Sus scrofa: one gene and its partner. The protein of the gene in region 1 purifies or fractionates together with the protein of each later gene. This does not show direct contact. Links are inferred from orthologs where the notes say so. Each region holds a gene or a part of one and is shown in the gene's direction. Other genes may lie near its edges.

Region 1 (15,214 bases):
AACCACAAATTCTGATAGCGCCTCCTAGGGAGAGTTAGGCAGCCTCTCTTGAGGTTCTCCTCTATGAATAAATCCATTATATGTCTCTAAGTGATTTTATATAGTAGAGTTTATTTGGAATAATAAAGTACCTGCACATTGTATGCCTGCCTTATAGGTTATAATAAAGGATAACAGTCTTGTGCTAACACCATCACACATCAAAGCCTACATGTTGATGACTCTTCAAGGATTAGAATATTTGCACCAACATTGGATTCTACATAGGGTAAGGTTTTTAGCCAAGTAGGATTGCTTTTTTACATTGTAGTCAAATTTTATGCCTCCCGTTTATTACACGAATGGTTAATGTCAATAACTGATAACTGAGGACAGTGTTAGAACCTAGCTCTTCTGACTTTAAGTCCAGAGTTCTTTGTGCTATGCTGTTTTGTGGAGGAGGAAAAAAAGCCAAAAAAACAGTTGGGATTAAATTTTGTAATGCAAAAATGTCTGGAAAAATAGTGTTTATAGAAGCTCTGAAATTCTAGGAAGTAATGAAATAAAATTTCTGAAATGGCTGAGTCATTGTTAGGAACATTGAGCTGTAGAACAAGGCTGATAATTTAGACAGATGTGCCTAGGTGCCTAAATACCTGAAAATGTATATCATTTATATTTAGTAAATCTCATTCTTAAGCTAGGAATCCCTTTTAGGTTTTTGCTAGATTTTGAGGGCCATATTCCTCATCCTTTCTAAATGCGTAATGTGTTTATTTACTAAAATTCATGCATATTATTATTAAATTAGTAGCAGCTATTTATTTAGTGCTTACCATGAGCCAGTCATTAGACTAGGCTAGGCTTTTTACAGGAAATAAATTTAATCCTCACAGCAGCCTCAGGAAGTAGGTAAATTAAAGTTCAGAGAAATTAAGTACTTTGACCCAAGGTCTCACTAAATAATATGTCCAGTTTTTGTCCAGAATTTTGCATCAATGAAAAGAATTGATGGTAATTTAAATTGGGGGGGTTACTCTGTTTCTGCTAAGTTTAAATTTAAGCCAACTAAATGTATCATTATGATATTCTCCTCTACCCTGCTTACTTTTTTGTTTAAAACTTCCATAATACAGGATCTAAAACCAAACAACTTGTTGCTAGATGAAAATGGAGTTCTAAAACTGGCAGATTTTGGCTTGGCAAAATCATTTGGGAGCCCTAATAGAGCTTATACACATCAGGTTGTAACCAGGTAAGAATTCCTTAACTAACTGAAAGCTTATATATGTAGAGTATTCATCGTAAATGAGCATTATTTGGCTTCCCTGAAATTTTGGCACAGTTTCAGGGATTATTGTTGGAATTTATTAAAAATACAGCCCTTGGCATTCCCTGGTGGCCTGATGGTTAAGGATTTGGCATTGTTAGTACTGTGGCTCGGATTCCATCCCTTGCTTGGGGACTTCTGCTTGCCAAAGGCATGGCCAAAAAAAAAAAAAAAAAAAAAAAACCCAACCTGGCTCTTTTAATATGTGTATCTTACCACAGTGAAAAAAATAGTTCTTATTTCAAAAGGAGTTGAATTAACTCATTCCTCAGATATTTACCTAGTAATTTTGGTGTCTAATTTATACTTCTTTTATAGTTCAGTTAGGCTTGTTGAAACTTTCGTGGCTACGTAATCACCTGATTTGGGCGCCTATGTTTATTGATTGGTCATGATTCCATATTTTATATCACTCAGTGTGAATGAAAATACTCTCGACGAAGCAGTGCATTTATGTATATTTGGATTTTTCATATTAATGGTATTTTCTTTTTAAATTTTTTTTTTTTGTCTTTTTGTCTTTTCTAGGGCCGCACTCGCAGCATATGGAGGTTCCCAGGCTAGGGGTCTAATCGGAGCTGTAGCCACAGGCCTACGCCAGAGCCACAGCAACGCGGGATCTGAGCTGCGTCTGCAACCTACACCACAGCTCACGGCAACGCAGGATCCTTAACCCACTGAGCAAGGGCAGGGATTGAACCCGCAACCTCATGGTTCCTAGTCGGATTCGTTAACCACAGCACCACAACGGGAACTCCTTTTTTTTTTTCTTTTTAGGGCCGCCCTTGCAGCAGATGGAGATTCCCAGACTAGGGGTCAAATCGGAGCTCCAGCTGCCAGCCTACACCACAGCCACAGTCACACCAGATCCAGGCTGCATCTTTGACCTACACCGCAGCTCACGGCAACACCAAATCCCCAATCCACTGAGCGAGGCCAGGGATTGATCCTGAATCCTCATGGATCCTAGTCGGGTTCGTTAACCACTGAGCCACAAAGGGAACTCTGAATTAATATATCCATAAGAGTGAATTTCATCAGTGGATGTTGTTTCACTGAGTTTTCTCTAAGAAATACTTTAATAATTCCATTCTTAAAATGACAATATATCTTGTTGTTGCTCAGATGGTATCGGGCTCCTGAGCTACTATTTGGAGCTAGAATGTACGGTGTAGGTGTGGACATGTGGGCTGTTGGCTGTATATTGGCAGAGTTGCTTCTAAGGGTAAGTCTTAAATTGATGTACACATTTGAGTATTGTTCTAGAAGTTTGTTCTTACAATTTGTATAAGAATTATCTTCCCAGAGGTAATTCCCAGAGATGGACCATCCTAAAAACAAAAAGGCAACAGAGAGAACAATTTTAAAAAAACAAAAACAAAAAACCTCTGCAAAATGCAGCCTTTTTATTAATACTAATGCGAAATGAGAGGCCTCCCATTTAGGACCATAGTTTTATTGTAGATCATTTCTATGTTCTGAGATAGACCTAGAATAAAACTCTCACTGAGTTGTATGTAATATGGTACTATCTCTACAGTAACTAAATGTGTTTGGATGAACGTCTGTACTCCTTTTTTGGGGGGCTGTTTTAAAGGACACTTTAAGAGATGTAATACCAACCACAGCAGCTGCAACTCTGCATCACTTTAATGTATGAGGGGAGCATTTCAGTTCTCTTTAAGCAGAGCAGACATAGTGGTCCTAAGACCATCTTACAATGAAGCATTTTCTCACTTCCTTTTACTGGAGAGAAAGGTGCCATTTTGGGAAGTTTTTTTTTAGCCGTAAAGTTTAGTTTAGCCCTTCTCAGTGATGAAGGTAGAGGAATATTGAGGAATCTCACTAAGGCTGACTTTTTTTCTCCCTAAATTCCAGATTCTAGCTCTTACTCTCCCTCTCCTCAAGCTACATATATTTAAAGAAATGTGAACCCAAAACATGAAAATCTATTTATTTCCTTGAACACAAAAAATAGCTTTGCTACACCAGAGAGAGAAGTTACCTTCTTAAATGTCTTTTTTAGTTTAGTGTACGTTTTATGCATCATCTTGAGAAGCTCACCCCTCAGAATACTTGCATGTAAAAGAGAGCCTCACATTTAGGCTTGGAGGTAATATCAGTAATCCCTGTGCTAGTAATGGGACCTTTTGAATCATCTGGTGTGACAGCTCCGCTACTCAAAAGAACGTAGAGTTTATTAGAAATTTACATTCGAGAATCTATGAACTCTCAAAAGCATAGTTCACGCACGACCAAGACAAAATGGAATTTCATAGCCCCTAGTCATGACTGATCATTCCATTTAGAAAGTCAGTGGAAGCAAATAGCAGTTGAGAATATTCTTCCATGGTTGTTTTGTTTTGTGGGCTGTGCCTGCGGAGGTTCCTAAGCCAGGGATCAAACTTGTGCCATGGCAGTGACAATGCCAGATCTTTAATCTGCTGAGCCAACAGGAAACTCTCAGTGATTCATTTTTTAAAAGACAGCTTTTTTATTTTATTTTTTTGCTTTTTCAGGGCCACACCTTCAGCATATGGAGGTTCCCAGGCTAGGGGTCTAATCGGAGCTACAGCTGCCAACTTACACCACAGCCACAGCCATGCAGGATCTGTGCCGTGTCTGCAACCTACACCACAGTTCATGGCAATGCCAGATCCTTAACCCACTGATTGAGGCCAGGGATTGAACCTGAAACCTCATGGTTCCTAGTCAGATTCGTTTCCATTGTGCCATGACAGGAACTCCATAAATACATAATTTAAATAGTGGTTGTATTAAGTCTGGGTCCAATCACAATATTGAAGCCACACATTTATTTGAAAAGGGAAGCACAATATAAAGAATTATAAAAAATAAACTATGACAAGAGGTTGGAATAATGAGAGACTGACTTATAAAAAGTAAAGAGAACTCTAAATATAGAACTGGCAGATATAATGAGCAGCCCCTCATACCTAGGGGTAACCCTAGGACTAAGAGCACCCAAAGAAGAGGACCCACAGGGCTGAGATCTAGATCTCTTGAAGAGGGCTCAGAGGATGGCAGAGAAGCTGCCGTAGAGCTGTGCTGGCAGAACTTGCCGAAAATCTGCTCTCCAGAACATGTGGAAATCTATTCTCTTGGGATGTGGAGGAAAGCATTTCTCTGGAGCTGCTCTGCCACAAGACCATCTCCCAGGGGTTCTAGAGGGCAGCTGCTGGCTTCTGTGCACTGTTGGAGTTGGGCACTGGAAAGACTGCCCACACTGCAGGAACCTGGTATTGATTCTAGAAGCTGAGAGTGCTGCAGGAGCCTGCCAGGCAAGCAGGCTGGAGCCAGGAAGCAAAACTCTATTCTTCCTATAATGTCTCTTAAAGGGCCCAGATCCACTATTACAAGAAGTCAAAAAGGGTGACTTTGGAATATATTGATAACTGACAGAGGTTGGTTTTGTTTTGTTTTGCTGGTAGAGTTTCACAGTAATAAAAATGTTGGATACTTGGTACTTAATCTCATGTCTTCCCAGTAATTCTGTAAATTTTCATAGCCTTTAACAGTGCCAGAAGCCTCACAGAGTAGCGAAAACTCCTTTTTTCTTTTCGGTATATTTACATGTCTGAGAATGGTTTGAATATAATGTCTTTGCATGGCAGAATTTATCATTTTGTATCAGCTTACTAAATATTTAACTTGTAATTATTTATCTCCTTAAAGTTGGCCCATATAGCTCTTTAGAGATAGTATTTGCAAAGAGGTCGTTTAAATAAGATTGGGATATAGATGTATTCTCTTGCTTCCTAGCACTTGCACCTGCCCTTTTACTGGAATAGTTTTTTTCTTCCGTCTTAGACTTTTTGTTTGCAACTCTCCTCTTTGCTCTTCGGAAACTTTCACGACCACTCCTGTAGGAGTCTTCCCTGCCCTGTCTAGAGTGTCTTAGGTGCAGTTCCTGTGTGGGCTGGGATCCTATCCTGTGCTCTCACTAAACATATCGTCTTGTTCGGTAGTAGTAGTATCACTGTGCGCCATGTTCACTCCAAGGGGGAGTGGGGGCTGTCTTGTTCCCTTGTTTAAATGCCTAGGGCTTAGCACAGTGCCTCTTACATGCTAAGTATTTATTAACGATTTGAGGAGTGAATAAAATGGGCAGTGTGGTACTCTTGGTTAGCAACAGCAAGCTCTAATGCCACATTTGGTGTATCTTAGACCACATTTAAGTTCCTGTTAGTTTAGTTGTTCTTTCTTTCTTTCTTTTTGTCTTTTTGCCTTTTCTAGGGCCGCTTCCCGCGGCATATGGAGGTCCCCAGGCTCGGGGTCTAATCGGAGATGCAGCCACAAGCCTATGCCACAGCCACAGCATTGCGGGATCCAAGCTGCGTCTGCAACCTACACCACAGCTCACAGCAACGCTGGATCCCTAACCCACTGAGCAAGGCCAGGGATCAAACCATCAACCTCATGGTTCCTAGTCAGATTTGTTAACCATTGAGCTACAACGGGAACTCCAGTTTAGTTTTTCTTACTAAGTTTTTAGTATTGTTTGTGTAACAGCTGTCACAAACCATCTTGAATTACCTGCTTCTCGCTTTCTCTCAGGTTCCATTTTTGCCGGGAGATTCAGACCTTGATCAACTAACAAGAATATTTGAAACTTTGGGCACACCAACTGAAGAACAGTGGCCTGTAAGCCGTCATACATTTTCTTTGAAATTTAGTTAGGATTCTGTATAGTACTGTAATGTGAATATTACTTAAAGAAATATGTTAACGGTCCTAATTTGCTAGTAATATGTACTCACTGCAAAATTTATACAAAGTTAAAGTTGTGATATACCATCCAGCCTCATATAAACATAATAGCTCTCCCCCATCCAAGGGTTAATCACTGTTTCTTGGTGTGATTACATAGAGAATTGGGTTTTTTTTTTCTTTTTTTCTTTTTTTTTTCCTTTTTTTTTGATCAAAAATGGGATCACATCATATGATTTTTTATTGTAACCAACTTGTTCTTTTTTCTTAAATTAACTGTTAATGTTTTCCTTTTTAGGCCATATAGTATTTCATTTTATGGATGTTCATTTTTGTTTATCAACATCTTGATGGATTTAGGTATATTCATTGAATTTTCACTAACGCAATCAAGATTTTTTAGTATTATGATTATTTTTAACCCGTTACATTTTTTGCAAAAGAGTAATACTAAATCTGTGATAAAAAATTTGCAACACTGTAAATTGCTACATTTTATGTATTACAGTTCAGTAAAATTTTCACTTGTTTGTTCTTAATATTTTAGACTTTTCGATTTTCCTTCTCTATATATAGCCTGAGGAAAAAAATAAATACTGGAAAAGAAAATTTTTAATCAGCCTCTTTACCTTCTGATTAAAACTGTAATGAAGTTTCTTTTGTGCAGAGTTCTGTGCCTGCCTGCTTGGACCTCTCACAAGTGTCCTAGCTTAATAAATCTATTTCTTCCCTAAAAAAAAAAAGTTTCTTTTGTGCTATTACTTCCTCAGCTTTCCAGTTGAAAGTTGACTGTGAGTTCTAATAGCTATCATTTATCAGACACTTAGCTCTATGCCATTAGTATATAAGGTAAAGTTATCATAAGTTATGTTTAATTTTCCTAATAATCCTATTAAAGTACTGTTATTCCCATTTTACAGATGAGACAACTGGGTTTTAGTGAGATTAAATAACTTACCTGAAGCTACCCAGGGTCAAGAGCTAGGACTCCAGTCTGAATCTGTCTGACTTAAGATCTGTATTTATACTATTCTGTACTTTTCTCTCTGACATGATTTTCTAAATAGTAGTTAGTTACTGATGTTTTCCTTCAATTTTTAAAAATTCTTTTTGTAATTTAATTTTATTCTATTTTATATGATGATTTTTATTTTTTTCCATATGGCTGGTTTACAGGGGTTCTGTCAATTTTCAACTGTACAGCAAGGTGACCCAGTTACACATACATGTATACATTCTTTTTTCTCACATTATCATGCTCCATCATAAGTGACCAGACATAGTCCCCATTGCTACACAGCAGGAATTTAAAAATTCTTGTTTTGATTACATGCAAAAAGAAATAACAGAGGTATCCCTTGCACCCTTTACCTCTCTTCCCACAATGGTACCATCTTACAAAATTGGTATAATGTCACAACCAGCACGCCAACATGTGAATGTACAGGACCTCATGTTGCCCTTTCACAGTCACCCACTTTCTTTCCACTTCCACCCCTACCTTACCCCCTGCCAATCACTAATACGTTCTCCATTTTTATAACTTTGTCATTTCAAGAATATTATAAATGGAGTCATATAATATGTAAACTTTTGAAATTTACTTTTTTTTTTTTCCACATTCAGTGTAATTCTCTGGAGATTTATCCAGGTTGTTGTGTATCTCAGAAATTCATTGTACCAGTTTGCCTAACTATTTGCTCATTGAAGGACATCTGCATTGTTTCCAGTTTTACTATAAACATTCATTACAGGTTTTTGTGTAAGCACAAGTCTTTTTTTATCTGGGATAAATGCCCAGGAGTGCAGTTGCTGAGTCATGGTAGTTGCATATATAGCTTAAGAAACTGCCAAACTACTTTTCAGAGGGGCTGTATTCATATTATAGTCTCACCAGCAGTATGTGAGTAACCCATTTTCTCTGCATCCTCTCCAGCATTTGGTGGTGTCACTTTTTTATTTTAAGCATTATGAGGGGTTTGTAGTGATAGCTCATTGTGATTTTAATTTTTTCCTCCTTAATGACTGCTGATGTTGAATATCTTTTCATATGCTTATTTGTCATCTGTGTAGCTTTTTTTTTTTTTTTTTGGTCTTTTTTTAGGGCCACACCTGTAGCATATGGAAGTTTCCAGGCTGGAGGTCTAATTGGAGCTGTAGCTGCTGGCCTAACGCCACAGCCACAGCGACTCGGGGTTGGAGCCGTGTCTCTGACCTACACCACAGCTCACAGCAATGCCAGATCCTTAACCCACTGAGCAGGGCCAAGGGATTGAACCCTGTGGCCTCATGGATGCTAGTGAGATTTGTTTCCACTGAGCCACAATGGGAACTTCTCATCTGTGTAGCTTTTTTTTTTTTTTGGTCTATTTAGGGCCGCACCTTAAAAAAAATTTATACAAATTTGAGAACTCTAGACCTCCTTACAACATTGAATCCTCTAATCCATATGATAGATTTTAGCATTTATTTGGAGCTTTGATTTTGTTTCATCAGAGTTGTACAGCTTTCATTATATGAGTCCTACACATTTTGTTAGACTTTCATTCACCAAAGCATTTCATGGTTTTTCAGTGGTTCTAAATGGTATCCACATGTTTATTGTACAGTTGATTTTTTTGGAATCATTATCTTCCTGTAACATTGTTCACTTAGTTCTAAGAGATTTTAAATAGATTTCTTGGGATTTTCTACATAGATCATTGTATCATGTACACAGCCGTTTTATTTTTTCACTTGAGGTCTATATACCTTTCAATAGGTATGTTCTTAATGAATTATAAAAATATTTTTACAGGACATGTGTAGTCTTCCAGATTTCGTGACGTTTAAGAGTTTCCCTGGAATCCCGCTACAACATATCTTCATTGCAGCAGGAGATGACTTGCTAGATCTCATACAAGGCTTATTCTTATTTAATCCATGTACTCGAATTACAGCCACACAGGTATTTTAACATATCTTTTGATTTCTTAATGTGTTCTAATATTCTTAAAATACTGAAAAGATGGGGTTCTGGTTTTTTTAACTTAATTTTTTATTGAAGTATAGTTGATTTATCTGTTTTGTTTTAAGGAATAACAGATTTCATCTTCTCCCTAAGCTACAGACACTGTTCAAGACTGGTATTAAATTATATAATGTACATGCAGGTGCAGGAGAGTTTACTCTTGCTTAGGAACATATAAATACACTTCTATTTGATAATTTGCTTTCAACTTGAAAGTTTACTTAGGAAAAATATAAGGTTTTTGTATTTGTAAAGATACTGGTATATTTCAGTTAAATTCTTATGTGTTAACTTAAATCTCGTGCCAAAGCCTGTGCCAAAAGTATTTTGTTCAGTTTTTTCCCTATAAAATGCAGTCTAGATGTGCATGCTGGTCATTGTGGCAGTCCAAAAGTGATAATGGGAGTTCCCACCAGGGTGCAGCGGAAAAGACTCCGACTAGGAACCATGAGGTTGCAGGCTCGATCCCTGGCCTTGCTCAGTTAAGGATCTGGCGTTGCCATGAGCTGTGGTTTAGGTCACGGATGCAGCTCGGATCCTGCCTACAGCCTGTGGTGTAAGCTGGCAACTGTAGCTCCGATTTGACCTTTAGCCTGGGAACCTCCATATGCTGAGAGGTGAGGCCCTAAAAAGCAAAAAAGAAGAAAAAAAAAAGAAAGTGATAATGGAAAAGTTTTTTTTTTTTTCTTTGTTTTAAAAGCCACACACACAAAAGAAAAACAAGCACACACAAGTGGATGGAGTTAATAACACTTAAAATTGAGGCAGGGAAATGCAGTGCAAAAATGCAACACAGTACAATGATTTGGCTTCATAAAAGGAGAGACTGAAATGTCTCAGATCTTCATACCTGGCAGAACATGTTAATGCACCATATATCAGGGATACAAAGTGGATTTTTTTTCACTTAAATTTATTACAGACTCATTGTTTAACTCATTTATTTCTATTATTAGCCTTCTCTTCTTAGCAGCATGTGCTACATTGATGCATATATACTATGTATTTTACCATTGGAATTACCCTTCTAATTTCAAACAAGTAACTCATTTTTACTTTTTCACCCAGGCGTATATACATATTATCTCCAGCATAAGAAACTTGAGGCCAGATAAGATTATCTAGAAAGTTATTATCATAAACAATAAAACTCAAAATTTATAGAAAAATGCTAATTGTGATAACTTGTTTGGGTTGTATATTGATAGAATGAATTTATTTTAATGGGTTTTGGCTTGTGGATATTTAAAAGTTGAAATGAGATATTCTTTCTTTCTTAGATCTCTTTGTAGCTCAGAATTAGCTTAATTTACTTAGGAAACTGCTACGATTTGGAATTAATGCTTTTTGTAAGTGCAACTCTTTTTTTTTTTTTTTTTTTTCCCCCCCATTTCTTGGGCTGTTCCCTGTTGACATATGGAGGTTCCCAGGCTAGGGGTCGAATTGGAGCTGTAGCCGCCGGCCTACACCACAGCTCACCACAACGCTGGATCCTTAACCCACTGAGCAAGGCGAGGGATCAAACCCACAACCTCATGGTTCCTAGTCAGATTCGTTAACCACTGAGCCACGACGGGAACTCTGAAACTCTTCTAAAATAAGAAATCTCTAAATTATTCCTGCAGATAATACTATGTTGACTGGTGGAAGGAGGTATTAAAGTTTATATGACTTTTTTTGTTCCTTAGAGAATTATCCAAAAGGAAATGTCCTAAATTAATGTGGCTCTTGAACAGTACTACGATGCAAATAAAGTATGAACTTGACAATTTTGTCATCTAGAATAAAACTTTTTATTGGAATTTTGGACCTGAGTGGAAATATCATATTATAGAATATTGGACTGGTAGTAAATAGAAATAACCTTGGGCAAGTATTTCCAAGAAAATTACTGTCAATTTTAGTGGATTATTGGATTTTAATCCATTGTTTCCAACCTATTGCATCTTTTAAAAAGTTTTATTTCTAAGAATTTAGATGAGATGGTGAGTCCCCTATAGCACAGCGTGTTAAAGATCTGGTGGTGGTGTCACTGCAGAAGCCTGAGTCACTGCTGTGGCACAGGTTTGATCCCTGAAACATCCATATGCCATGGGAGCAGCCAAAAAAAAAAATACATGATTTTGAATTTGAATACATATAGATGTTCTGACAAATAAACTTGAGAGTTCTTTTTAAGCAAGTTTCTCTCTTTGTGTTTTGAACTGTAGAGCATATAATGTGTAGAGAGCTGAATTATGCAATATCTTATTAAGGATATTTCATATTTAGTACATGCTATTTATGGAAAAATTTGAAGGTAATCTTTTTCTAGTCATGGAATTGTCAGTGAATCTTAGGCTGCTAGATGTTTTTTCTTTCTTTTTTTCAGAGGGGGTGGGCAGCTGCATGCCTGGCATATGTAAGTTTCCACACCAGGGAGCAAATCCGAGCTGCAGCTGTGACCTACAGCTGTGGCAGTGCTGGATCCCTAACTCACTGTGCCACAGCAGGAACTCCTGCGAGATGTTTATTTGTATTAATTTGCACGTCCAGTACTTGAAATTAAGTTTGTGAAGGGGATTGTTCACATAGTATTGTTAATGCTCCTTACAGTTTTGGAAGTTAGATTTTCTTAAACACAATTCAGATACTCACTTAAAGCCTTACTTTGTTACCTTTTCTTTCGAAAGGCATTGAAAACTAAGTATTTCAGCAATCGGCCAGGGCCAACACCTGGATGTCAGCTGCCAAGACCAAACTGTCCAGTGGAAGCTTTAAAGGAACAGTCCAATCCTGCTGTGGCAACAAAACGGAAGAGAACAGAGGCCTTGGAACAAGGTAAAACTCTTGTTTTCATGGGAAATGAAGGGAATTCTGAAAACTCCAGATAACTGATATATAGGTAGTAGCTGAAGGGCAGCAGAGAGATGGAGACTGTTTATTTGTTCAAAACTTCAATTATGTAAAGTAGAATGTGGTATTTTAGCTGTATTTGCTTCAATTGAGAATATTTACGTAATGCTTTTTAAAAGGACAGTTTTGAGTGTATCTCAGAATTATAAGAACTGTCAGTATGTACCCTATTTCTATAAAATTCCTACTGGTACATTGTATTAGAAAACCAAAGCAAGTAAAAATAAATGTAGTTGGAATGCAGTGACTGGTTAAAATTGCTATAAGATGAAATGTAAACAACCTCATTTTTCCCCCCCAGGAGGATTACCCAAGAAGCTAATTTTTTAGTTACAGAGAACACTGGACAATATTCTACTACTGAAGGAAATAGTGGAAAAGGCAAATTAGTAGAAAAATAGTAAACATTAAGTAAAAAAGGAATTTGTAAATATTCTACCTGTGTAAAATATGTAAAATTGGGTTGTTTTTATTAAATGTATTTTAAAACAAACAATTCTGATTTTTCTGATTAGAGTGCAATGTAAGATAAATTCAAGTTTCTGAAATGTAGAATTGAAAATGCAAATGCATTAAGGAAACCTTAATAAGAATAATTTTCAGTTATTTTAGTGATCCAGCCCAGATAGCATTACAGATTTGTAGTAAAGGGGGTAGTACTGAAAACTAGAAAAACAGTAGTAATGTAGCAAATACCTACTACCCTGACTTAACAAATATTATATATTAAATGGGAGACAAAAAAAAAAAGGAGAGAATAACATTACAGATAAAATTGAGTTCCCTTTACTGTGTCGTTCCATTTTATTTTTTTCCTTTTCACCCTCCCCAAAGGAGAATGACTCACGAAATGAGTGTGTCCTCCCATCAGTTAATAGTGCTATTTTAGAAGAATGCCTGTGGTAATATACAGCATTTGGGTCTCAAAATTTTATGAGTGGTAGACTGTACATCTCATACAGCACTTTTTTTTTTACTCAAAATTTTAATATTTTATGTTCATATGTATAAATCTAGTTTTTGTTTTAACTGCCATGTAATAGTAATATATATATTATATATACATACACACACACACACATATAATACCGTATGTATAAACACTATGGCATGCTCTATTTATGGATTGTTGTTATTTTTCTTTTGTTGCATAAAAATTGCCATAAGTGTAGCAGTGTAAAGTAACACAGATTTATCCTGCAGGTCATATGTCTGGCATGGCTCACCTATATTTTTTTGCATAGGCCAGTATCAAGGTGGCAGTTGATTCCGGGCTCTTATCTGAGGCTCGAGGGAAGAATTTGCTTCCAGGTTCATACAGTTCATGTCATTTTAAGCACATGCCTCCTATCCTTGCTAGTGGTCAGTCATTGGTCCCTCTTGGCTTCTTAAGGCAGTCCAGTAGCCTTATTGCAGGGCACTCTTTATCTGTAAGCCAGCAAAACTGTCAAACTGTCTGGCTTCCTCATCTGTTACCAAGAGAGAGAAATCTTTTTTTGTTTTTGTTTTTTAATTTTTTAGGGCTAATATCAGCTCACTTAGGTCTTAATTATACATCTTAAAAACTCTCTTCATAGCAGTTCCTAGGTTAGTGCTTGAATAATCAGTACAGGAGTCTTTTTTCCATAGTATATATTGATGACTTTTTAAAAGTTTTTATTAGTATAGTTGATTTACCAAGTTATATTTCTGCTATACAGCAAAGTGATTCAGTTATATATACATATATATATTCCTTTTTTAATTACTTTTCCATCATGGTTTATCACAAGATAGTGAACATAGTTCCCTGTGCTAAACAGTAGGTCTTGTCTATCTATCCTATATATTATAGTTTGTGTATGCTGATCCCAGACTCCCAATCCATCCCTCCTCCACCCCGCTCCTCCTTGGCAGCTGTAAGTCTAGGATAGGAATCTTGAGAAAGCCATCTTTAGGATTCTGCCACATGGACATTTAGGTTATGTTTAGTTTTTCACAGTTATTAAAAAAATGGAATGTTGATTTGCACATGCAAGAGTTTCTCTAATGTACATACTCAGAATTGTAGTTGTGAGGTCAAGTATGTGTTTTCAGTTAGTGTTGATATTGCCATGTTTCTCCAAAGTAGTTATTACCTATCAGTTTACATTCCCAGTAGCTGTTCAATAGTTCTTAAAAATGAAGGAGCCCCTGGAGTTCCCGTCGTGGCACAGTGGTTAACGAATCTGACTAGGAACCATGATGTTGCAGGTTTGATCCCTGGCCTTGCTCAGTGGTTAAGGATCTGGCATTACCGTGAGCTGTGGTGTCAGTCACAGACTCAGCTTGGATCTGGCGTGGCTGTGGCTGTGGCATAGGCTGGTGGCTACAGCTCCGATTCAATCCCTAGCCTGGGAATTTCCATATGCCACGGGAGTCGCCCTAGAAAAGGCAAAAAGACCAAAAAAAAAAAAAAAAAAAAAAGGAGCCCCTAACCTTACACCGTATACAAAAATTAACTTAAAATGGATCAAAGACCTAAAGTTCAAAGATCTAAAACTATAAAAATTCTTAGGAAATAACATAGGAAAAAAAACTTTATAACATCAGATTTGGCAGGGACTTCCTGGATAGGACCTCAGAAGAACAGGCAACAAAAGTTAAAAATAGACAGTTTCGGAGTTCACGTCGTGGCGCAGTGGTTAACGAATCCGACTAGGAACCATGAGGTTGCGGGTTCGGTCCCTGCCCTTGCTCAGTGGGTTAACGATCCGGCGTTGCCGTGAGCTGTGGTGTAGGTTGCAGACGCGGCTCGGATCCTGCGTTGCTGTGGCTCTGGCGTAGGCTGGCAGCTACAGCTCCGATTCAACCCCTAGCCTGGGAACTTCCATATGCCGTGGGAGCGGCCCAAGAAATGGCAAAAAGACCAAAAAAAATAGACAATTTGGACTATATCAAAATTAAAAGCTTATGTGTATCAAAGAAACAGTAGAGTGAAAAAGCAACCTAAGGAATGAGAGTAAACATTTGCAAATCATCTATCTGGTAACGTGTTAATAACCAGAATAAAGAATATAGTTGTTACAGTTCAACAATTTAAAAAAATCCAATTAAAAAATGGATAGTGCTCACTTTGGGAGCTCATATACTAAAATTGGAAAGATACAAAGAAGATTAGCATGGCTCCTGTGTAAGGGTGATACCGAAATTCATGAAGCATTCCATATTTTTACAAATGAATCTATCTACAAAACAGACATATAGAGAACAGACTTGTGGTTACCAAGGGGTGGTGCTAGGAGGTAGGG
Region 2 (15,999 bases), on another chromosome or scaffold:
TGTAATAACGGGGGAGGTAAAGGAGAGCCCCCCTTCTTCTTTTTTTTCTTTGCTGTCACTTGGCATATGGAAAAATCCCAGGCCAGGGATCTAACCCGCGCCACAGCAGCGACCTGAGCCGCTGCAGTGACAACGCCAGATCCTAAAGCGCTAAGAGCCCCTCCTTGGTGATACTTACCAGTGCTGCCTTACTGGTTATTTGACTGGTTCGTGCTCAAGAAATACTCGTTATTATCTCTAGTTATATTCACCGGAAGGTGAAGAATGATATATTTTAGCCATGGGGAGCCGTGAAGAATCCCGTTTTGGGTAAGTGGGAATTAGATGGAGAAGAGTCCCGCCCAGACAGCCACGGTTTTTATGGCCCAGTGGGAGGCTCAGAATATTTCTTTTCATCCAGCCGGCTGCTGATTGGAAGGCGCCCTCTGTGGTTTGGGAGATGCTGGGAGAGTATACTAGGAAGGGATTGGAGGATGGAGACAGTCCTTGTGTTTGGGGGTGGGTCGGGTGACTATTAAATTTGCGGGTGGAATGAGGGGGTGGGGCTCCTGGTATCTGAAGATTCTGTCTTCCCTCAGCTCTTTCCCAGGGTGAAGCCTCAGAGGAATAAAGTCTAGCTGGAGAGGACATTTCCAAAGGACGGGGAGGAAGCAGCACTGCCTTCTCGCTGCACCTCCTCCTCCTCCCTTACTGCTGCATCTCGCTCTGCCCCAGGCCCTTGCAGGGTGGGGTCCTTGCCAACAGCTCTCTGCTTCCCTGGAAGCCCTGGGGAGAAGGAGAAGCCCAGCCTTAAGTTTAGAAACCTGCCTTAGCTGTGGGAGGTCGAGGTGGGGCGGGGAATCTTTGGGGGCCAGAGAGACCCCCCCCTCCATCTGCCAAATCAGATCCCGTCCAAAGTGCCTCCTACTCTCACTGCCAACTTACCCCACCCCCATCCTGCGCCCCCCAAAACAGACAACCTCCCATCCCAGGGGACCCTGGGGTGGGTCACCTCCACCCCCATCTCTACCAGCAGCGGTCAGGGCCCAGGTGAGGCATAGCCACCTCTGCCAGCCTCCTTGCCCCACCTAGTCAGGTGACTTCACACATCGCTGGTTTTATAACCAAATAGGGAAGTTTTTCTTTATAAATAAAGGTAGTTTGCACAGAAATTGACTTCCTTCTCTTTGAACTTTGTTCTGACTTAGTAAGTGCTTATCATTGGTCTTATTTTTGGTAAACCTTTTTCTTTTCTTTTCTTTTCTTTTTTTTTTTTTTTTTGTCTTTTTGGTGTTTCTTGGGCCGCTCCCATGGCATATGGAGGTTCCCAGGCTAGGGGTTGAATTGGAGCTGTAGCCACTGCCTACACCACAGCCACAGCAACGCGGGATCCGAGCCGCATCTGCGACCTACACCACGGCTCATGGCAACGCTGGATCCTTAACCAACTGAGCGAGGCCAGGGATGGAACCTGCAACCTCATGGTTCCTAGTCGGATTCGCTAACCACTGAGCCACAACAGGACCTCTTTTTTGTTTTTTGTTTTTTTTTTTCCCAAGCCTGGGGCATGCAGAAGTTCCTGGGCCAGGGATCGAACCCACTCCACAGAAGTAACCAGAGCCACAGCAGTGATGACACGAGATCCTTAACCTGCTGATACACCAGGGAACTCCTTTTTGGTATTATCTTGATCTTTTTTCATGTTTTGGATTCCTTTATGTCTTTAAGCGTCTTTAGATTTGTGATGTTATAGTGTATATGTGATAATCCCATCATCTGAAGTTTGAGGCCATCTCCTTCTATAATCTGTTGTGTCAGGTTATTTTACTCATTCATCATTCTGACCAGACGTCTGGTCCCTTCGGTCTGGACCTTCATGCCCTTTGGTTCTGGGAAACTCCCTTGTATATTTATGTGCTGATTTCTTCCACTTTGTTTTCTTGCTCTCCTTTCCTGGAATTTTCATTTGGATTTTGAATCTTCTGGCTTGAACTTTCAGTTTTCTTTTCTTTCCTTTTTTTTTTTTTTTTTTTTTTTTTTGCTTTTTAGGGCCACACCTGTGGCATATGGAGGTTCCCAGGCTAGGGGTGGAATTAGAGCTGCAGCTGCCAGCCCACACCACAGTCACAGCAACTCGGGATCCCACGTTCCTGTTGTGCTGCAGTGGAAACAAAGCCAACTAGCATCCATGAGGATTCAGGTTTGATCCCTGGCCTTGCTCGGTGGGTCAGGGATCTGGCGTTGCTGTGAGCTGTGGTGTAGGCTGGCAGCTACAGCTCTGATTCCACCTCTAGCCTGGGAACTTCCACATGCTGTGGGTGCAGCCCCCCCCAAAAAAAAGTCCTTGCCTTCAAATGCAAACACTGCACCTTGAATGATAGTAAGCAATTATTACTCCTTTTTTTGAGGTAGGGTAATGACACTATGATTATGTTCTTACAAAGAGCTTTTTCTTTTCTCTTTTTTTCCCTGAACCTGTGGCATGTGGAAGTTCCCAGGCCAGGGACTGAACCCACACAGCAGTGACAATGTTGGATCCTTAACCTGTTGCACCACAAGGGAACTCCCAAGAGTCTTTACTTTTAGAGCTACACTTTTGTGTGTGTGTGTGTGTCTTTTTGTCTTTTAGGGCAGCATCAGTGGTATATGGAGGTTCCCAGGCTAGGGGTTCAATTGGAGCCACTGGCCTACGCCAGAGCCACAGCAACACAGGATCTGAACTGCCTCTGTGTCCTACAACACAGCTCACAGCAAAGCCAGATCCTTAACCCACTGAGCAAGGCCAGGGATTGAACCCGAGTCCTCATGGATGCTAGTTGGGTTCATTAACCACTGAGCCACAACGGAAACTCCTAGAGCTACATTCTGAAATACTCAGGGGTGAAATGGTATGATGTCTGGGATTTGCTTCAAAATAATCATCCGGCGGGCGGGGTAGTGGTTGGGGTATAGACGAAGCAAGATCAGCTCGGAGTTGAAAACTGATAAAGCTCCCTGTATGTGGGGCTTCGTTAGACTCTTAGACTCTTCTCTCAACTTTTGTGCCCATTTGAAATTGTCCTTAATAACTGGGGATAAAATGCTCCTGCTTTTGTAGAGCTGACATTCTAGTGGAAGAGACAGATGATTAAAAAAAAAAAAAAAAAGCAAAAAAAACCCATATTCTATTAAATGCTGATCACTGCTATGGAAAAAGCTAGAGTAGGCGAGGTGAGTATAGGTGCCCGATTGGAAGTGTATTCTTTTCCTGTGGCTACTGTCACAAATGACCCCAAATTTGATGGCTTGAAACAACACACATTTATTTTCTTACCATTCAGACGATCAGAAGTCTGAAGTTAGTTTTACCAGGCTGGCCCGCAATCAAGGTATTGGCAGGGGTGCGCTCCCTCCAGAGGCTGTAGGGGAGAATCAATTTCATTTCCTTTTCCAGCTTCTAGAACTGCATTCCTTGCATTCTTTGGCTCTGCCCTCTTCATCTTCAAAGCCTGCAGCCTGGCATCTTGCCTCAGTGTCACATCGCCTCTGTTTCTGTCCTGCTGCACCATCTCCCTCTTAGGAGGACACGTGATTACATTTCCGACACACCTCGATAGCTCAAGGTCATATCTGCAAATTCCCTTTTTGCCATCTGTGGGATCAAAATAAAAATGGAGTCAGTATTGCTAGAAGAGTGCTCTCAAATGGAGCTGGGAGGCCACTGAGGAAGTGTGATTTAGGCACCTCTCAGCCTGGATGGAATCTGACCTTTTGACCACCTATTGTCCTAACATAGGCATCTAGAACATCTGCCAAAAATGCGGGATACTTAGTCAGACCCTTATCCTAAAATAACTCATGACAGCCTATCTATTTGTGGGACTCTTACCCTAAATAACTTGATTTCTTTAGGACAGATATTCCCTGGCGCATATCAGAGTCAACTGGGATTCTCACCACACAACAACCTTGTGGCTATTGTCAGCAAGGCCTTCCCTGACTACCCTATACATTTTTTTTGTCTTTTTAGGGCCGCACCCGCGGCATATGGAAGTTCCCAGGCTAGGGGTCAAATCAGAGCTGCAGCTCTTGGCCACAGCAACGTGAGATCTGAGCTGCGTCTGCGACTTACACCACAGCTCCTGGCAACAGCAGATCCTTAACCCACTGAGCAAGGCCAGGGATGGAACCCACGTCCTCATGGATACTAGTTGGGTTCATTACCGCTGAGCCACAAGGGGAACTTCTGGCTACCCTATTTAAATTGCAATGCATCCTGGGTAGGCTGAATAATGGTCCCCAAAGGTCTCCAGGCCCTGATCCCTGGAACCTCTTAATGTTCCCTTACATGTGTCAACCAAAAATTAACACAGAACAAAACACAGAAGGCTGCAATAAGACAATTGTGATTCTAGGAGTTCCCGTTGTGGTGTAGCAGAAATGAATCCAAGTAGTAACCATGAAGTTGCAGGTTCGATCCTTGGTCTCGCTCAGTGGGTTAAGGATCTGGCATTGCCGTGAGCCGTGGTATAGGTTGTAGACACGGCTTGGATCTCGTGTGGCTGTGGCTATGGCATAGGCTGGCGGCTGTAGCTCTTATTAGACCCCCAGCCTGGGAGCCTCCATATGCCGCTGGCTTCGGCCCTAAAAAAGCAGAAAAGAAAAAAAAAAAAGAATTATGATTCTGGAGACAGATTCAGGTAAAACTGAAGGAGGGTTCTGGGGAAGAGAAAGAGTCGGGGGCTGAGGCAAGAGCCTTCCAGACACAGAGAACTATGACTACAAGAAGGCTCTCAATCACCCCTGCCATCTGGCAGTCACGTCCTTGAGTAAAGCCTCCCCTTGACCAGGAGCTGGATGTAGAGATGTATTCTAAGAAATGTTTTACACTTGGCGCTCCCTACCCGTGGGTTCTGCTCAACCAACAGTGGATTGAAAATACAGTCATCTGGAGTTCCCATTGTGGCTTAGTGGTAACTAGTATCCATGAAGATGCAGGTTCCATCCCTGGCCTCGCTCAATGCGTTAAGGATCTGGTGTTGCCGCGAGCTGTGTTGTAGGTTGCAGATGTGGCTCAGATCTGGCATTGCTGTGGTTGTGGTGTAGGCCGGCAGCTATAGCTCTGATTGGACCTCTAGCCTGGGAACTTCCATATGCCTCAGGTGTGGCCCTAAAAAGCAAAGAAAGAAGTGGAAAAAAAAAAAAAGGAAGAAAGAAAATACAGTCATCCCTTGGAGTTCCTGCTGTGGATAGTGGGTTAGTGATCTGGCTTGTCTCTGTGGTGGTGTTAGTTTGATCCTTGTCCTGGCACAGTGGGTTAAAGATGCTGTGTTGCTACAGCTGTGGCATAGGTTGCATCTCTTGGTATAAGCGGGAGGAATGGCTCCTCCAGGGATACCAAAATCTATGAATACTGAAGCCCCTCATATAAAATCTCACAGTACAGTTTTCCAGGGCAGACTGTGAGGGACCTGAGCATATATTTACTGAACCCCTGGTCTGTGCAGGCCCCGTACTTGGTGGCAAAGGGCACAAAGCAGTGACCCAAACAGTGTCAGCCCTATACTCCTGGAGCTCACAGTCCAGTGGGGGAGACAGAACCATCCCCGGGCTGTGACAACCCAGAGCGGGCAGGGCTGGGATGGGGGTGGCATGGGTAGCGGCACCTGGCCTAGCTGTAAAGCCTTGGGCAAGTGGGGATAATGAAGGAGTTCCCTTCGTGGCTCAGCGGTTAACGAACCTGACTAGGATCCATGAGGATGTGGGTTCAGTCCCTGGCCTCTCTCATTGGGGTAAGGATCTGCCGTTTCCAAGAGCTGTGGTGTAGGTTGCAGACACAGTTCGGATCTGGTGTTGCTGCGGCTGTGGCCAGCAGATGTAACTCTGATTTGACCCCTAGTCTGGAAACTTCAATATACTGTGGGTGAGGTCCTGGGGAAAAAAAAAAAAAAAAAGTGGGGATAATGACACATACCCACACATGGCATTTATCACAGTCAAATGAGAATATACTTTCACAAGTTAGGCAGTGGTTGAAGTATTTAGTGAGACATGACCCTGAGCCTTAAGAGATGCCACACTGGAGTTCCTCTCGTGGTGCAGCAGAAACAAATCCAACTAGGGACCATGAGGTTTTGGGTTTGATCCCCGGCCTCGCTCAGTGGCTAAGGATCTGGTGTTGCCTGTGAGCTGTGGTGTAGGTCACAGACGCGGGAGGCTTGGATCTGGAGTTGCTATGGCTGTGGTGTAGGCCAGCAGCTGTAGCTCCAATTAGACCCCCTAGTCTGGGAACCTCCATGTGCCCCACGTGCGGCCCTAAAAAGCAACAACAACATAAAAAAGATGCCACGCAGGTGCTCCTTGCACTACCACGTACAGGAGAACAGACTGGGAATAACGACCATGTGAGATGTCAAATGGCTGGGTGTAAAGCATGGGATGGCTTCCATTTCGGAGGTTTGTGCTCCCCAAGCCGCATTCCAGCCCCATCTTGCTGTCCTCTGCTTCCACTTGCCTTCAGCGGTGTCCTCTGCGCCTGCAGCGAAGTCTGGGCCACCTTACCCTGCCTCACTTACTCCTCACCCGACCCCTCCCTCAGGAAGCCCTCTCTGATCCCCCAGGCAGGGTCAGGAACCCTCTCTAGGGCCCCCCATTCTAGTCCTGATTACTTTGTTCAAGTGGAGGGGGCATCTTAAAAGCTAGACTATAATAGAATGAAATCAAGTGTGTATTCACTGCTCATAATTCAGACATATGCAGGAAGCCAGAATCCCAGTAAGTAGGATCGATTCTCTCGGTTCTCTTCCTTCCATGTTTTGTTCTTGGTCCTCGGCGATCCTCAGCAATGCCTGTGGTACCGCCCCCCCGCCCCTGCCTTGCCGTGCGCACGCGCATTATCCGATTGACGGCCCCCCAGTGGAGTGACGGGAGGAATCAGCCAATGGTGTCTTGACGAAGGTGGAGCAGAGCCTCGAGGACGCCCTGCGGACCCTGCCTTTACTAGATATTCATGAGGGAGGCGGGCCGACGCTTCTGCGAGTAGCGGCCGGCGCCATGAAGTGAGAGGGGTTCGGGGGCTCGCGGCTTGCGAAGCGGGCGCGGGAGTCTGGACGATGCCAGGACCCGTGGGCGCCCCTGGGGTCCCAGCGGGGCGAGGGGAGGCTGAAGGGGTGGGGTGGGGATAGCCGTGGGGACCCACGGGGCGGTAACGGGGATAGTCAGCGATGAGATGCCAAAGGTACCCAGAGGCTCCTGGGCAACTCGGGGATATCTGGGGAGACCAGCGGGCCAGTTTCGGGCTGGTAACCCCTCTCGGCCTGACGACAGCGGAGTGTGGGTGCTGGAGAGGGGCTGAGGGGACGGGCGACTGACCCGGCAGCCCCTGCCTCCAGGCTCAACGTGGACGGGCTGCTGGTCTATTTCCCGTACGACTACATCTACCCGGAGCAGTTCTCCTACATGCTGGAGCTTAAACGCACGCTGGATGCCAAGGTGGGTGGCTGGGGCTGCCTCACGTGCGTCTAAGACTGAGATTGCAGGACGTCTAGAGTTTGGAAATCTGAGGTCCGTGGGAGGCCAGTACGGCCAAACTTCGTCTTATCTAAAATAATACGGGTTAATAACAGCAGCAGCTAACATTTATCAGAGGCTGCGTTGCTCAGCGGCTGGCTTAGGAACATAAAGAGTTTGGAACCAGCTCCTTGGGTTGGAATCCTGGACCCACAGCTGTGTGCCCTTGGGTAACTCACTTAACCTCCCTGTGAACAGTTTTCACCTCTGTAAAACGAGCCTAGTAATAATACCTACCTTAGAGGTTAATATGAAGGCTCTAGGGGTTAATTCACTACCTAAAGCAGCTGTTCTCAATTAAGGAACGTTTTGACACCCCTCTACCTTCCCCCCCATTCACCGATATCAAGAGACATTCCTGGCTGTCATACTAGTGGGGAGGGGGTGTGGCTGGCATCTAGAGGCCACAGATGCTGCTAAACATTGTAAGGTGCACAGGACAACCCCCCACAATCAAGTTGGGGTTTTTTGGAGGGGGGGCATGCCCAGGGCATGTGGAAATTCCTGGGCCAGGGATCAAACCTGAGCCACAGCAGTGACAATGCCGAATCCTTAATCACTAGACCTCCAGGGAACTCCCAGGTGTTTGTTTGTTTGTTTTTACAATTTTTTAACCCGGGCCTCAGCAGTGAAAACACTGAGTCCTAACCCCTAGACCACCCAGAGAACTCACAATCAAGTATTATCCAGCCCCCAAATGTCAATAGATTCGCTGTTGAGAAACTGATGTAGGACCCTTGGTAGTGGTGCCAGACCCAGAGTAAGTGCTGGGGAGGGGCTTGCTACATTAAAAAGGATTCACTACCTGTTGGGTACTATGCGGAATGTTTAAACCTAGTTTCTTACTCGTCCTCCTAGTTGTGCTATGAAGAAGAGACCCATTTTAGAGATGAGGATACTGAGGCCCAGCCAGGTGAAGGCATTTGCCTAAGTCCACTCAACAGAAGTGGGGTTCAAATCCACTGCCCTGGGGCCCAGACTTTTAACTGATGTGTTGACATGCTCTTCCAGGATTGGGGGGGGGCACTCCCCAGAGTTTGTGTCTCTGAAGTTCTGAGAGCCTTGTTCTTCCTCAACACCAGGGTCACGGAGTCCTGGAGATGCCCTCAGGCACCGGGAAGACCGTGTCCCTGTTGGCCCTGATCATGGCATACCAGCGGGTGAGTGACCCACTGGGCGCGTGGAGGGGGAAGAGGCTGGAGGGGGAAGAGGCTGAGCCCATTGTCGTCGGCAGGCGTATCCGCTGGAGGTGACTAAACTCATCTACTGCTCGAGGACTGTGCCCGAGATTGAGAAGGTGAGCCTGGAGCCAAGCCCACTGCTCCCCGACTCGGTCGGAGCCCTTGGGTTCCCCTGGCAGTTGCCACCAGAGCTTCAGGGGCGTTTGGAAAGCCGGGTAAGGGGTGGGGGCCTGGCTGGGCAGGGGCTGGGGCTTGTGCTTTCAATCAGGCCAAGTCCTGCTCCCTCATCAACTGGAACAGGTGATTGAAGAGCTTCGAAAGTTACTCAGCTTCTATGAGAAACAGGAGGGCGAGAAGCTGCCATTCCTGGGGCTGGCTCTGAGCTCCCGGAAGAACCTGTGTATTCACCCCGAGGTGAGTGCCTGTCCTGCCCCTTGCCCTAAGCCTTAGGGTTGAGGAAACTTTTTCTTTTTTCTTTCCTTTTTTTTTTTTTTTAGGGCCACACCCGCAGCATACGGAGATTCCCAGGCTATGGGGTCGAATCAGAGCTACAGCTGCTGGCCTACGCCACAGCTCACATCAATGCCGGACCCTTAACGCACTGAGTGAGGCCGGGGTCAAGCCTTCGTCCTCATGGATGCTAGTCAGATTCGTTTCCGTTGAGCCACAGTGGGAACTCCCTGGGTTGAGGAAACTCTTGGTCCAACCAGGAGCCCTGGATCCCCAGACTAGGCCTCTCGGGGGATGTTCTGGGGACGCAGAGTCCTCCTCTCACTCAAGTGCTGACACCGCGTTTTGGTAAGCACCCCTCTTCCCAGCTCCGGACTCCGGCAGCCCTGCTTGCCTGGCTCTGAAACGGGCTGGTCATGTACTTATTTTGTTTTTTTCGTTTTTGGCCACACTTTTGGAAGTTTCCCAGCCGGAGACTGAATCCGAGCCGCAGCTGAGGCCATGCCTGATCCTTAACCTGCTGTGCCACAGTGGGAACTCGGCTGTGTACTCTTGCATAGGTGATTTCTGCTCTCTGGATTTCAGTCTTCCATTCTGTAAAATGAGGGTAATTAACTACCTGGAGTTGCCTGGTGGCACAGCAGGTTAAGATTCAGTGTCATTACCTGTGGTGCAGGTCACAACTGTGGCTCGGGTTCGATCCCTGGCCCAGGAACTTCCACATACTATGGGCACGGCCAAAAAAATTAACTACCTGCTTCATACAGTTGTTGATAAGTTTGGGCAAGGGGTGGGGGCTGGGCAAAATGGGTGAAGGGGTCAAAAAAGTAGACTAGTTATAAAAGAAATAGGTCGTGGGGATGTAATGTACACTTGGCCCTGTTATGTGTGGATCCAAAACCTGCGGATAGGGGAGCTCCTATCATGGTGCGGTGGAAACGAATCTGACTAGGAACCATGAGGTTGCTGGTTCGATCCCTGGCCTCTCTCAGCGGGTTAAAGATCCGGCGTTGCTGTGAGCTGTGGTGTAGGTCGCAGACACAGCTCGGATCTGATGTTGCTGTGACATAGGTCGTGGCTACTGTGCCATTTAATATAAGGGACTTGAGCATCTGCGGGTTTGGTATCCGTGGGGCGGACTTGGAACTAGTCCCCCCCCCAAGCCCCCCGCAGATACTGAGGGCAGCTGTACAGCATGGTGACCATAGCTCATAATACTCTATCATATATTTGAAAGTTTTAAGAGAATAAATCTTAAAAGTTCTCATTATAAGGAAAAAAAATTGTGAAGGGAGTTCCCTTTGTGGCTCAGTGGTTAATGAACCCGACTAGGATCCATGAGGATGTGGGTTCGATCCCTGGCCTGGCTCAGTGGGCTAAGGATCTGGTGTTGCTGTGAGCGGTGGTGTAGGTTGCAGATGTGGCTCAGATCTGGCGTGGCTGTGGCTCTGATTAGACCCCTATCCTGGGAACTTCCATGTGCCTCAAATTGGCCTTAAAAAGAAAAAAAATTGTGAAATTCTCCTGTGGCCCAGCAGGTTAAGGATCTGGGGTTGTTACTGCAGCGGCTCAGGTCAGTGCTGTAGTGAGGGTTTGAGATCCCTGGCCTGGGAACTTCCATATGCTATGAGCACGGTGGGAAAGAAAAAAAATTGTAAATGTGTGTGGTGATAAATTTAAGAAAAAAAAATTTTTTTTTTTTTTTTTTTTTTTTTGGTCTTTTTGCCAATTCTCCGGCCGCTCCCACGGCATATGGAGGTTTTCTCTGGATAGATGCCCAGGAGTGGAATTTCTGGATCATATGGTAATTTTGTTTTCAGTTTTTTGAGGAATCTCCATACTGTTTTCCATAGTGGTTGTACCAATTTACATTTCCACCAACAGTGTAAGAGGGTTCCCTTTTCTCCACACCCTCTCCAGCATTTATTGTTTGTAGACTTTGGGTTTTTTTTTTTTGCCTTTTAAGGGCCACACCTGCAGCATATGGAAGTTCCCAGTTAGGGGTCGAATCAGAGCTATAGCTGCCGGCCTACACCACGGCCCCAGGCACTTGGGATCTGAGCTGCGTCTGTGACCTACATCACAGCTCAGAGCAACGCCAGATCCCCGACCCAGTGATCAAGGCCAGGGATCAAACCCAAATCCTGGATTTGTTTCCTCTGTGCCACAACAGGCATTCCCTGTTTGTAGATTTTGATGATGGCCATTCTGGCCCCGTGTAAGGTAGTACCTCATAGTGGTTTTGATTTGCATTTCTCTAATAAATGTTGAACATCTTTTCATGTGTTTTTCTGCTGTCTGTATGTCTTCTTTGGAGAATTGTCTGTTTAGATCTTCTGCCCATTTTTTGATGGGGTTGTTTGTTTTTTTGGTATTGAGCTGCAGAAGGTGTTTATAAATTTTGGAGATTAATCCCTTGTTAGTCAATTCATTTCCAGATGTTTTCTCCCATTCTGTGGGTTGTTTTTCCTTTTCTTTTTTGTCTTTTTAGGGCTGTACCCATGGCATATGGAGGTTCCCAGGCTAGGGGTCTAATCAGAGCTGTAGCTGCCGGCCTACACCACAGCCACAGTAATGGGATCCTAGCTGTGTCTGTGACCTACACCACAACTCACAGCAACGCAGGATCCTTAACCCACTGAGTGAAGCCAGGGATCGAACGTTTATCCTCGTGGATGCTAGTCGGGTTCTTAAACTGCTGACCCACAGCGGGAACTCCTGTGGGTTATCTTTTCATTTTGTTTAGGGTTTCCTTTGCTGTGTAAAACCGTTTAAGTTTAATTAGGTCTTATTTGTTTATTTTTGTTTATTTTTTTTTTTGTCTTTTCAGGGCTGCCCCCACAGCATATGGAGGTTCCCAGGCTAGGGGTCTAATCGGAGCTGTAGCTGCCAGCCTACGCCACAGCCACGCCAGATCCTAGCTGTGTCTGTGTCCTACACCACAGCTCACGGCAGCGCCGGATCCTTAACCCACTGAGTGAGATTTGTTTCCGCTGTGCCATGACAGGAACTCCTATTTTTGTTTTTATTGTCATTACTCTTGGAGGTGGATCTGAGAAGGTAATTCTGTGGTTTATGTCAGAGAGTGTTTGGCCTGTTTTTCTCTAAGAGTTTCATAGTAATTGGTCTTATATTCAGGTCTTTAATCCATTTTGAGTTCATTTTTGTGTATGGTGTTAGTGTTCTAATTTCACTGTTTTACATCTAGCTCTCAGTTTTCCCTGCACCACTTATTGAAGGGACTATCTTTTATCCGTTGTATTTTCTTGTCCCGTTAGTCATAGATTAGTTGACCATAGGTATTTGGGTTTAATTCTGGGTTTCTATCCTGTTCTGCCAGTCTATATTTCTGGCGGGTTTTTTTTTTTTTTTTTTTTTGATGCCAGTACCATACTGTTTTTATGACTATAGCTTTGTAGTATAGTCTGAAGTCAGGGAGCCTGATTCTTCCAGCTTCATTTTTCTTTCTCAGGATGGCTTTGGCTATTCTGGGTCTTTTGTGCTTTCAAACTTTAAAATATTTTGTTCTAGTTCTGTGAAAAATGCCATTGGTTTGATAGGGATTGTATTGAATCTGTAGATTGCCTTTGGAAGTATAATCATTTTGGCACTATTGATTCTTCCAATCCAAGAGTGTGGTATATATCTTTTCATATGTTTGTGTCCTCTTTCATTTCTTTCATCTTTGAGCTTTATAGTGTCTTATAGTTTTCAGAGTACAGGTCTTTTGTGACTTAAGGTAAGTTTATTCCTAGGTATTTTATTCTTCTTGATGCAGTGGTAAATGGGATTGTTTACCTAATTTCTCTTTCTGATCTTCTATTGTTGGCATATAATGTAGTCAATTACTGTGTATTAATTTTGTATCCTGAAACTTTACCAAATTCATTGATGTGCTCTAAGAGTTTTCTGGTAGTGTCTTTAGAATTTTCTAGGTATGGTATCATGTCATCTGCAGTGACAGTTGTGACAGTTTTACTTCTTCCTTTCCAATTTGGATTCCTTTTTTTTTTTTGTTTTTAGGGCTGCACTCACGGCATGTGGAGGTTCCCAGGCTAGGGGTCTAATGGGAGCTACAGCTGCCAGCCTAAACCACAGCCATAGATAGCTATGCGGAATCTGAGCCGCATCTGCGACCTGCACCACAGCTCATGGCAACGCCAGGTTCTTAACCCACTGTACGTGCCAGAGATTGAACCTGAGTCCTCATTGATACTAGTCAGGTTCCTTAACTGCTGAGCCACAGTGGGAATTCCCTCTTTGGGTTCGTTTTACCTGGTATTTGTTGTGCTTCCTGGATTTGAGTGATTGATTCCTTTCCCATGTTAGGCAAGTTTTTGGCTCTTATCTCTTCAAATATTTTCTCTGGCCCTTTCTCTCTCTTCTTCTGGCACCCCTGTAATATGGATGTTGGTGCGTTTAACGTCCCAGAGTTCTCTTTGACTGTCTTCATTTCTTTTTAATCTTTTTGCTCTTTTCTGTTCTTTGTCAGTGTTTTCCACCAGTCTGTCTTCATTCTTCATTCTTCTGCCTGCCATTGGTTCCTTCTAGTGAATTTATTTTAGCTATTGCATTTTGCATTCTCTTCTTAATCTTTCAGTCTTCTATTTCTTTTCTGTTTCTTGTAATTTATCGATCTTTGCTTCCAGTTTATTTTCAAGGTCTTGAATCATCTTTTCTAACATCAGTCTAAAGTCTTTTTCATGGAGGTTGGTAATCTGCAGATCGCTTAGCTATTTTTCTGACTTTTTTCTTGTTCCTTTATCCGAGTCATAATTCTCTGCCTTTTCATTTTGTAGAGCTTTTTTGTGTGGTTTCCTTTTTACAGGCAATGGGGTTGTAGCCTCTCCTGCTTTTGATGTCCCCCCACTTTGTGGCTGAAGTTGGTACACAGGGGCTTGTGGCCGGCTTCTTGATGGGAGAGACTGGTGCCTGCCCCCTGGTAGGTGGAGCTGATTCTTATCCCTCTGGTGGGTGGGGCTTTGTCTCTGGTGTGATTAGAGATGGCATGTGCCTGGGCCGGGTCTTTAGACAGCCTGTTTGCTGATGGGTGGGGCCAGATTTTTCCAAAATGGGCACCCGTAGAGGAGCGCATGCTGACAATTATTCCTGAGACCTTTGCCTCCGCTCTCCTTCCCCTACAACAACTACAGTCACCCCCGTTTTCCCAGGAGGTCCTCCAAGAACCACAGGCAGGTCTGACCCAGATTCCTATGGAGCTTCTGCTTTGCCCCGGGACCCAGGGCACATGAAAGCCTGGGTGCACCTTTCCAGAACGGAGTGTCTGTTTCCCCTAGTCCCGTGGAACCCCTGCGCACAAGCCCAGCTGGCCTTCAGCAGCAAATGCTCCGGGGACTCCTTTTCCCAGTGCCAGATCCCTGGGTGTGGGAACCTGACGTGGGGCTCAGAACTCTCACTCTGGTGGGTGAGCCTCTGTGATACAGTTACTTTCCCGTTGGTGGCCTGCCCACCCGGTGGGTATGGGGTGGCTTATATCGTGTAATCACCCCTCCTACTGTCTTGATGTGGCCTCCTCTTTGTCTTCTGGAGTACAATATCTTTTTTGATAGTTTCCAGTCTTTTTTTTTTTTTTTTTTGTCTTTTGTCTTTTCAGGGCCAAACCCATGGCATATGGAGGTTCCCAGGCTAGGGGTCTAATCAGAGCTGTAGCTGCAGGCCTACACCACAGCCACAGCAACGCAGGATCTGAGCCACATCTGCAACCTAAACCACAGCTCACAGCAACATTGGATCCTTAACCCACTGAGTGAGGCCAGGGATTGAACCTGTGTCCTCATGGAGGCTAGTCGGGTTCACTAACCGCTGAGCCACCATGGGAACCTGCCAGGCACTGTTTTAAGTGCTCTATGTGTGGAACCTCGTGGAGTGGTATTATGCAACATTTATAAGAATTAATGGAGATAATACAGGTGACGGATGATCTCTTGAAGGGCAGCGGCCCCAGCGCTTTGTTTACACCCGTGGAGGGGTGTTGTCCCTATTCTTGGTTACGCTGTGGAGCAAAAGAATCCCCGCCTCTTCCACACAGCCCACTTTGCGCCGTCCCGCTGTTGCTACATGGAGTTGAGGAGCGTAACTGTGGTCAGCCTTTGATCTGATGGCAGGAGGATTGGGATAGAGGAAAGCTGCCACAGACCCTGGAGCAAAATTTCAAGATCTTTTTATTTTACTTTCTGGCCATATCTAAAGCATGCTAGATCCACTGCAGCTGCGACCTACACCACAGCCCACGGCAACGCCAGATCCCTAACCCACTGAGCGAGGCCAGGGATTGACCCCGCGTCCTCATGATGCCACTCTGGTTTGTTACAGAACTCCCCAAGATCCTTTCCTTTAAACTGAAGTTAAGCTGGTCAATGAATCTGCTTACCTGAATGTGTTTCTGCAGAAATTTAGTAAATGCCGGCAATAGGAGAGCCGTGTCACGAGCCTTCAAGACGGGGATGTCTTTAAGGTCCCTGAAAATGGCAACAAGACACTTTCATGATGGGAAGCACATAACCTAACATTTTTTAGTTTCACCATAACTAGTGATAACAGTTTAGTGGAGTTTCTCAATATTAGTAAAATCAAAAATAAAAAATAAACCGAAGTTGAAATTAATGGCTTTAAATGTAGGAAGTGGATGTATGTGTGTGTCCAGAACCTGCTCACGTGGTGGTCGACACTGTCCTCCTTAGGAAAATAAGAAGTAGAGGATTAAGGAAGTGGATTGTATCTTCTGGACCTGTGATAAGACGTGTATAAGCAGGAGTTCCCAGGTGGCCTAGCAGTTAAGGACCTGGCATTGTCACTGCTGTAGCTCAGGTCCCTGCTGTGG

Evidence for each region.
Region 2: the proteins of CDK7 (region 1) and ERCC2 purify together in Homo sapiens (affinity purification with mass spectrometry; 10 studies listed by BioGRID and IntAct, counting the BioPlex papers as one, with this or other methods). This does not show direct contact. The link is inferred for Sus scrofa from reciprocal best matches to the Homo sapiens genes CDK7 and ERCC2.

The regions. Positions count from the first base shown.
Region 1 is NC_010458.4:47,423,163-47,438,376, forward strand, and holds the end of CDK7 (cyclin-dependent kinase 7), read left to right. Parts: intron 1-157; coding exon 158-268; intron 269-1,115; coding exon 1,116-1,234; intron 1,235-2,434; coding exon 2,435-2,534; intron 2,535-5,887; coding exon 5,888-5,974; intron 5,975-8,837; coding exon 8,838-8,987; intron 8,988-11,722; coding exon 11,723-11,870; intron 11,871-12,246; coding exon 12,247-12,275; downstream 12,276-15,214. UniProt on the Homo sapiens protein: Serine/threonine kinase involved in cell cycle control and in RNA polymerase II-mediated RNA transcription. Cyclin-dependent kinases (CDKs) are activated by the binding to a cyclin and mediate the progression through the cell cycle.
Region 2 is NC_010448.4:51,748,374-51,764,372, reverse strand, and holds the start of ERCC2 (TFIIH basal transcription factor complex helicase XPD subunit), read left to right. Parts: upstream 1-6,864; 5' UTR 6,865-7,011; coding exon 7,012-7,016; intron 7,017-7,132; exon of another isoform or gene 7,133-7,349; coding exon 7,350-7,449; intron 7,450-8,609; coding exon 8,610-8,687; intron 8,688-8,761; coding exon 8,762-8,824; intron 8,825-9,008; coding exon 9,009-9,122; intron 9,123-13,986; exon of another isoform or gene 13,987-14,016; coding exon of another isoform or gene 14,017-14,100; intron 14,101-15,999. UniProt on the Homo sapiens protein: ATP-dependent 5'-3' DNA helicase. Component of the general transcription and DNA repair factor IIH (TFIIH) core complex, not absolutely essential for minimal transcription in vitro.